Macaca mulatta: one gene and its partner. The protein of the gene in region 1 binds, or shares a complex with, the protein of each later gene. Links are inferred from orthologs where the notes say so. Each region holds a gene or a part of one and is shown on either strand. Other genes may lie near its edges.

The links.
Region 2: the proteins of PER2 (region 1) and CRY2 are in contact, whole or in part, in a crystal structure (PDB 4U8H), measured with the Mus musculus proteins. The link is inferred for Macaca mulatta from reciprocal best matches to the Homo sapiens genes PER2 and CRY2. Residues at the interface, in NP_035196.2 of Mus musculus: Tyr1132, Leu1134, Gln1135, Asp1136, Pro1137, Trp1139, Leu1140, Met1142, Ala1143, Asn1144, Thr1145, Ile1149, Met1150, Met1151, Thr1152, Tyr1153, Gln1154, Leu1155, Arg1158, Asp1159, Leu1160, Val1163, Leu1164, Asp1167, Gln1168, Lys1170, Leu1171, Leu1174, Gln1175, Ser1177; in NP_034093.1 of Mus musculus: Trp58, Ser63, Ser64, Val65, Lys163, Leu166, Thr167, Lys169, Arg170, Glu215, Leu216, Gly217, Phe218, Asn330, Pro331, Ile332, Cys333, Ile334, Gln335, Ile336, Pro337, Asp339, Asn341, Pro342, Glu343, Leu345, Ala346, Lys347, Ala349, Glu350.

Annotation. Positions count from the first base shown.
Region 1 is NC_133417.1:143,533,694-143,537,733, forward strand, and holds the start of PER2 (period circadian protein homolog 2), read right to left. Parts: upstream 2,808-4,040; 5' UTR 2,370-2,807; intron 1-2,369. UniProt on the Homo sapiens protein: Transcriptional repressor which forms a core component of the circadian clock.
Region 2 is NC_133419.1:19,745,868-19,749,382, forward strand, and holds part of CRY2 (cryptochrome-2), read right to left. Parts: coding exon 3,415-3,515; intron 3,180-3,414; coding exon 3,028-3,179; intron 2,903-3,027; coding exon 2,700-2,902; intron 2,390-2,699; coding exon 2,263-2,389; intron 1,174-2,262; coding exon 1,002-1,173; 3' UTR 1,000-1,001; intron 1-999. UniProt on the Homo sapiens protein: Transcriptional repressor which forms a core component of the circadian clock.

The DNA.
Region 1 (4,040 bases):
GTTGGGTAACTGCGGAAAATGTGACCGCAGCCGTCCAAATATGGAGGGAAGGAGGTGCACCAGGGAGGCATTGTCTTGGCCTCACCAGGACACCTTTAATGCTCTCAATTCAGACTTTTAAATCCTTACATTTTTAGAACTACAAGACTTTACAGCAATAAGAAAGGCAAAAGTGTCAGCGGCTGAGCTACTCTGAATTGCGGGAAGCTGAGGCATCTGCTCCTCCTGCACCTGGTTTCTTAAAGAGCAGATTCTGATTCCTCTATGTCACCCCAGGAAGAGCACGAGGAACCCTTCGAGGCCGGTGAGGGATCAGCACAGCAGCCCACTCTGTCTTGGGAACTACCAGCCTCTGAAAACCAAGTGGCCTTGACTCCTGTCACCCGTCACTGCTGTTCATTTACTGCTTCTAATGTGCTCTAGACTTGGAAATATGGTAACAAACTTGTTACAAATGTGTACACGATGAGCATAATGAGTTGAAAGGAGGGCCTGGTCCCTAGGGGAGAGTGCCTGGGCTTGGGGAGGGGCCCATCAGAGGCCCCCTCTAGACTGTCTGATTCTCCCTTGGTTCTGAAGGTTGGTCAGCTTTCCAGAAGTGTGGGGACAGTCTCTGCCAAGCTTATGGAATTGTGTGTTTCTGGCTCACTCTGCCAGAGTAGTTTTCAAAAGGTAAAAGCACACCCAGAGCCTGTCTTTCTTCTGACTAAACGCCAAGTGGCCCTGCCAGCTGTTCAATGACCTGACAGAGCCGTGGTTTGCTGAGTCCTGGTGAAGTTACATCATGGCTTAAAAACAGCAGTGTGACGACCAGTATTTTTGAGAAAGTTCAGTGTGTATGAGAAATAGTGCACAGGAGAGGAATCTTTCCTTGTTCCTTGTAAGCACTGCAGATGTGGCTCACAGGGGAACATTACCTGGCCCAAAGGCAAGAGCATATCAGAAGCCTCTGTCTCCTGCGAGAAACCTGGGAAAAATCAACTGTAGGGTAACAGAAAATCAAAAACCTGGGAATTAAATTAGACCTCTGAGACTGCCCAATCTGAGTCCCTCCGAACAAATGAAACTGAGGCCCAGACTGGGAGCCAAGGCTCCCAGCAGCAGCCAGCTGGCTGACGCAGGGCTCCCCCTTCCCACCTGGCACTCCAGTCTCCACAGAAAGCCAGGGCTGCGTTAGTTCTATACCAATGAATCACACCAAGGCGACAGTGACAGATAACTGCAAACACCCACGGTACCATCCCCGCGCTGGCACACCACACAGCTTCCACTTAAAAAAAACAACGGAGTCCCTTTCTTCATTATAGTCATATAGCACACAAAACTCAATTCACCTTGTATTTTAAAACTCAATTTCCAAATAAAGCCTTCAGGTAGAGTCCTATTTTCTTCTCAGGCACACCCAGTCTGGGACCAGAAGCCCCAGGTCGGGGTAGAAGTTGGCATCTCCCCTTGGAAGCCAAGAAGTCTAGTGATCCTGCTGTGCCATATAAAAGTGAGAGGGGTCCAGGGGGGCTCTGGCCATGGTGTGGGGTTCTTAACACATTTCCCGGACTTAAGGCCCCTCCTCCCAAATTACAGCCCACCCAGGATTCAGCACCCAAGTTGAGGCCTTCACTGAACCTCTGAAGCTCATCCTGCCCCAGGGCGATGGGAAGATCCTGCAGACAGCCTGGGCCTGGGCCTCAGTTTGCTCATCTGTCAGGCTGAGGGGTTACTCTGGGTGATTTCAGGGTGCCTTCTGGCTCTGTTCTGTATGAATCAGCTTTCCAAACGGGTTCCTTCTGTGTAGGTTACAGAAACCCTGGCAACCAACTCGTCATCCCTTACCCTGGCCTTCCTGAAGGGGGAAGCAGGCCACCTCCCACCTCCTGGTCTATGTCTGGGACTTGGCAGCCAAAGTACATCCCAGAAGGTAGGTGCGACTGCTGCACCAAAGAGTGGACACCCCCATTCCTTTCTATCCAGTCCGGGGAGAGGGTATTAATACAGGGTGGTCCAGGGGAGGCAAAGGGGCGAACATCAGGCGGTCTCCCTGCCCTCAGGTTCCCAGGCCTGGCTTGGCACAGGGACTTCCTTGTCCCTCTGATCACCTATTCCAGGAGACCCGTGGGTGTCCAGGAAAAGCTCCTAGATCAGCGCCCTTCCACAGCCCTTCCCCAGCCCAGGACTTGGCCCTGTGGCCTCAGAGGAGGCAGTCAGCTCCCCGAGGGACCTCCAGATCCCAGGGCCGGCTGCGCTGACCCCTGATTTCCTTGGCCTTCCCCAGGGGAGGGGAGGGAGGGTTCCCAAAAGAGAATCGCCCACGGAACCGCAGCCCACGCGCAGTCACTCAGCAACTCGGTGCCCTACACACGCTGCCGCCTCACCTTTCGGACCTCAGGCTCCTGAGCTGCGAAACGGGGGTTCGAGTCCCCAACCCGCGGTGTCAGCGCAATTCAAACGAGCGCACCCTGCGCGCAGCTCGGCCGCCCTCCACCTGAGACAGGGCCAACGGCACACGCCCCCACGCCGGCGCCGTTTCAAGCAGAGGAGTCCAGCGGCCCAGGGAACTCCCGGCGGCGCCGGGACCCCGACCTGCCCGAGGCCAACGCGCGGGCGGCGGTTACGTAAGCCGCAGCGGGGCCGCGCCGCGCCACTTACCGCCCGGCCGCGTTCGCGTCGGCCCGTCCGCCGGTCCCTCCGCCGACTCGTGGCTCTGTCCGCCCGGACCCGCGCCCGCTGCCGCCGCCGCCACCACCGCCCACAGCTGCACGTAGCCCCTCAGCGCCGCCGCCTCCGCCGCGGCCGAGTCGCCGCTGTCACATAGTGGAAAACGTGACCGCGCGCGCCGCGCCCGCCCCCGGCGTCCGCCATTGGCCGCGACACCGTCTCATCTGCATACACGTGGGGCGGGGCCCACTAGCGCCGCGCGCCCATTGGTAGCGGTGCCCGTCGCTCTTTTTACATAAGACGCACATGGAACTCCATGTTCACCTCGTCGGTTCTTCAATGGAGATGCGGCGCGTTCTTGCCCCCCGTCGTCCTCCCTAGTGGTCTCATCCACTTCCGGCGTCGGCGCCTTCCATTCACGACGCCCTCGAGTCCGCCAGCTCCGGGAGCGCGGAGTGGCGCGTACCATTGCGGGCGGGGGAGCTGGGCGCGGGGCTCCTGTGCACCTCCGGCCGGCCTGGCCGACCTGGCGCCCCGAAGCCCGACCAGGGAAACCTCCACCTCCGGCCACCGGCCAGAGGCGCGCCCCCAGCGGCCAGGGCCGCGGGAAAGTCTGCGCAGCATGCTTCATTCACACATTCATTCATTTACTCATTCACTCATTCGTCGCCGGGCCCCAGAGCAGCCTAGGAGAAGGTGGCTGCACCGCCCTGCAGCAGCTGCTGGGGCACGCCCACCCGGGCCTCAGAGGTGCCTGTGGTCCACACTTGTCCCGGCAGTTACCACGTGTTACAATTTTTGGTTCAGGAAATAGAGTCACTGTTACTCTGGGGAGGTACAAAAGAAAGAAATGATGTTGTCTCTGCCCCCAAGCGCATCACTAGGGAGAAAGGACTGTCTCATAAAAAGGAAACTTAATCAAATGCTAAATTGGGCGATGTGGGCTATAAATTAACCAGAGCTATCCCCACAGGCTCCGTGAGAAAGGCAGCACTTCCAGGGCGGGTAGGATGGGCCCTGAGAAAGGGACACCTTAGGAAGGTGCAAGCGGTAGAGACGGAGAAGCCCGTGGTGGGAGGTTGTCCTGGGAGCCAGTGCGGCAGCGTGCATCACCTTGTCTGAGGGTTTGCTGTTTCAGTAAGCATTGTTTGGGGCATGATGAGCCTCTAAACTTCCATTTAAAGTGTCAGGAGAGAGAGTACAATTTCCCCTGGTCTGGGTAGAAGCCTGAGACTTACAGGACAGGCAGGAGCTTGCAGGCTCCCATGCAGCAGACTCTGAAAGTGCAGGCTCCCATGGGGAAGGCGAGATTGTCCAGGAAGCTGGAACCCGCAGCATCTCTCTTTACTCTTCTTGTTCTTCTTTACCTGGACTCGCCTGGGGACCAG
Region 2 (3,515 bases), on another chromosome or scaffold:
ATGACGAAGACACGGTGCATAAGGAACAGCCTGAGACGATGACTCAGAGGGGACAGGAAATTACATTTCCCCAAGAGGGGCATAAAAGGCCCTTCCTGCTCTGGGAAAGGAGAAGCCAGTGTTTTGACGACATTCGGGAGGCTTCCAAGATAAGCGCTGCCAGGGAGGTGCAGAGCTGAGGCCACAGGACGGGTGAGAAGGGAGGAGAGGCCGTAAAAGCAAAGATGATGACAGATTGCGTCTACTGGTCCTCAGGCAGGGCTGGACCGAGTGAGACACAGCACAGCCCTCTGTCCAGGCTTCTCAAGGTCAGTGCTGCCCTCCACTGGCTGGCCTACAGAACACAGCCTGTCGGAGAGCAGGGGGCCTGGAGCAGCCTCAGACCCTGCAATGGGCCTTTTCCCCACTGCTTCACACACAGGTCTCAGCTTTCTTTTTGTTGAGCATGACTCACTTTAATAGGTAGAAAGTGCCACCCCTCACCCCCATGCCTCCCTTTTTCCCTTAGCTAGCAAAAAAAAAAAAAACAAAAAAAAAAAAACAGAAAAGGGCTTGACTTTTAAATCTCTGATAAAAGTCAGAATGGTGGGATTTTTGAGCTGAAATCCTAAAAGTCATGCAGTCCCACCAGATTGTTATTATTATTGTTTTTAGAGATGGAGTCTCACTATGTTGGTTTGGCCAGGTTGGTCTTGAACTCCTGGCCTCAAGCGATCCTCCCACTTTGGCCTCCCAAGGTGCTAGTAATCCTAGCACGAGCCACCACAGCAGGCCCAATGGTAAGGGTCACACGGATATGATCCAGAAAGTACTTATTCCCTAAGCCAGGATTGAACCCGGCTGCCACTGTAAAATGGTAAAGCTTTAGTGGCTGAGCATTGGGTGTTCCCACCAGATTTTCATCTAGTTTGTTATGTTTTAACCTTCAGCTGGCAGGGCAGTAGGCACCCCCGCTCCCACCTTCCTTCCTGAGGTTGAATCTAGACTGCTGTCACTCACTCTCAGGCATCCTTGCTTGGCAGCTCTGGGGTTGGCAACTCTGCCACCTTGGCCCGTTTGCTGAGTTCTTCACCAGGTGGTTCCTCAGCTGCTTCCAGCTTGCGTTTGGGGGATGCTGGGCCACTGGGTAGTGGTCTTGGGCCTGTAGGGAAGCGTGTCAAAGGGTCACACAGACTGTGCATGCAGCCAAACTGACCCCACACTATGCAGCAGCGGTCTTTAGGGGACAGGTAGCACACTCATCAATGGAATGCCAGCATGCTGCTCCTCAGACTTGCCCCTCGGCCTTGCTTTCAGCAGTGACTTTGCCTGGAAATGTGCAAGGAGAACATGACCGAGCAGGCCTGCTGGTAGCAGGGCCAGCTTTTGGGCCCCAAATGGCATGGGCTATGGGCCAGAGACTGACTTGGCCTGCCTGCTGTCCTTGCTTTGAAGGTGAGGCATTCCCTCTGCAACTCTGAATCAGCCTCCCTGAGCAGCAAAGAGCAGGGCCCCTGAGAAGGAGGCATGCTGCCCATGGAGGCAGCCTAGCTGGCCCAACTAGAAAAACCCGTGTTCGTGCCATCTCATGTTACTCATCTTCATCCCCAAGAAGGGAGGCGGCTCCAAATGCAGCAAATCTGTCCAGTCTTTCTCTGTGTGGCCACCACCCTGTCTGTGCTGCCTCCTCTTTGGCCTCCCTATGCCCGCTCTGGCCTACACTGTCCAATCTCTACCCAGCAGGCCAGGGAGTTTTTTCAGACCTAAGTCCAATGATGCCCTGCCCTACTGACCATCCTTCAGTGCACTGAAGGCTGAATCCTAGTCCTCGTCTTGGACATCGGGCCTGCCACATGCTGCTCATGCTGTATCTTGTCCTCATTTCCCCAGCTCCTCACTGGGACATGCCGCCACACTGACCTCCCTTCGGTTCCTTGAATGGGCTAAGCTTGGTACTGCTTATGAGCTTTTTCTTGCTACTCCTTCTGTCTGGAATGGTATTTTCTCAGTGTGTGGCAGGCCTGGCTACTGCTCATGACGTGGGTCTCTGCTTACAGAGGTGTTCCCCGACTACTCCAATCTCAAGTGACACAGAAGAAACTTTTCTTTCCCAGTCCCTCTGTCAAGGCGCTTGACTTTCTTTTCCTCCAAAGCACTGGTTATCTGAAATGATCCGACTTGGTTCCTTTACTATCTGACTGCCCTGGGTGGAATATAAGCTCCATTGGGCAAGGCCTCCTTCTGGCCTCAGTCCTGAATGACTGAAGTGCTGGCACAGGCCACAGGAGGCCATTGGAGGTGGGCTGCTGCTGCTCACCTGCACTGTTCACGCTCCCAGCCTGGCTCGAGCTGGGCTCTGCCACAGGGTGACTGAGGTCTTCCACACAGGAAGGGACCGATGCCAGTAGACCTGGGAGAGAGGCGGGGAGTAATCAGAGTGCCATCCCGCAGGATTGCAGGGGGTTACAGGGAAGGATGAAGCAAGCTGGGGTGGGGAGGATAGGAGCAAGACACTGAGGTTCCATTTCTTCTCACTGCCCCACAACTACTCAGGGAGGCCCAGTCCATCCCAGCCTGCAGTGTCCCATACCCAGAGAAGGTGTCAACCTGAAAGACAGCACTCAGCCTCCCTTTGCAAGTATCTGGCCATCCCCATCTGGCACCCCCGAGCCTGCAGGTGCTGTCCTTCCCTTCAGTGAGCTAGGTGTTTGTGTCCTTACAGAGTCCCCGGTAACGCGAGAGCTGCTGGTAAATCTGCTTCATTCGTTCAATGTTCAGCCGGCTGGTCTCGGCATGGTTGACGATGGGCCGTGGGTAGTCCACACCAATGATGCACTTGGCTGCCTTCTGAATTGACTCTGGGGCATTCCAGGGTTCATAGATGTATCGAGAGGGGAACCCTTTCAATTTTGGCAGGTATCGCCTGAAATAAGACACACCAGATGACCCATCAGCATACCTAGACCCTCCTTCAAAGGGCCCTGGGTATCCCATCCTAGTAGGAGACCACAGTGGTCAGAAGCCAGAGAGCGTGGTCTGCATCCTCACCTGATGTAGTCTCCACTGGGGTCCGTACGACGGCCGAAGCCCACAGGGCAGTAGCAGTGGAAGAACTGCTGGAAGAAAGCACTGCAGGACAGCCACATCCAGCTGCCTGCGTTCACGCTGAAATCTGCATCCAGGAGCAGCTCATCAAATACCTAGATAGGGGAGAGGATGATCAGCCTCCTTGGGGATCTGCTGCCATGTTTTTTCCCAAGTCACCACAGTGCCCCCAGGAGCCAGAGCCCTTCTGCTGAAGGCAAGCCACAGAGGATCTGGAGGGGATCTCCTGGACCCAGAAATCCCACCCCATCCCTCAGCCCAGAAGGGGGCTGCCCTTTGCTGGTCCTGACCAGAGGGTATAGGCCAGCTTTTCGCTGAGAGAGCACTCACCCGGACCCCGCTCTCCCAGCTGACCCAGAGGTCCCCGCGGGTCAGGAAGCAGGCCACGGCGTGCCGGGCCAGGTGGTGGATCCAGCCCTCCTGCCTCAGTT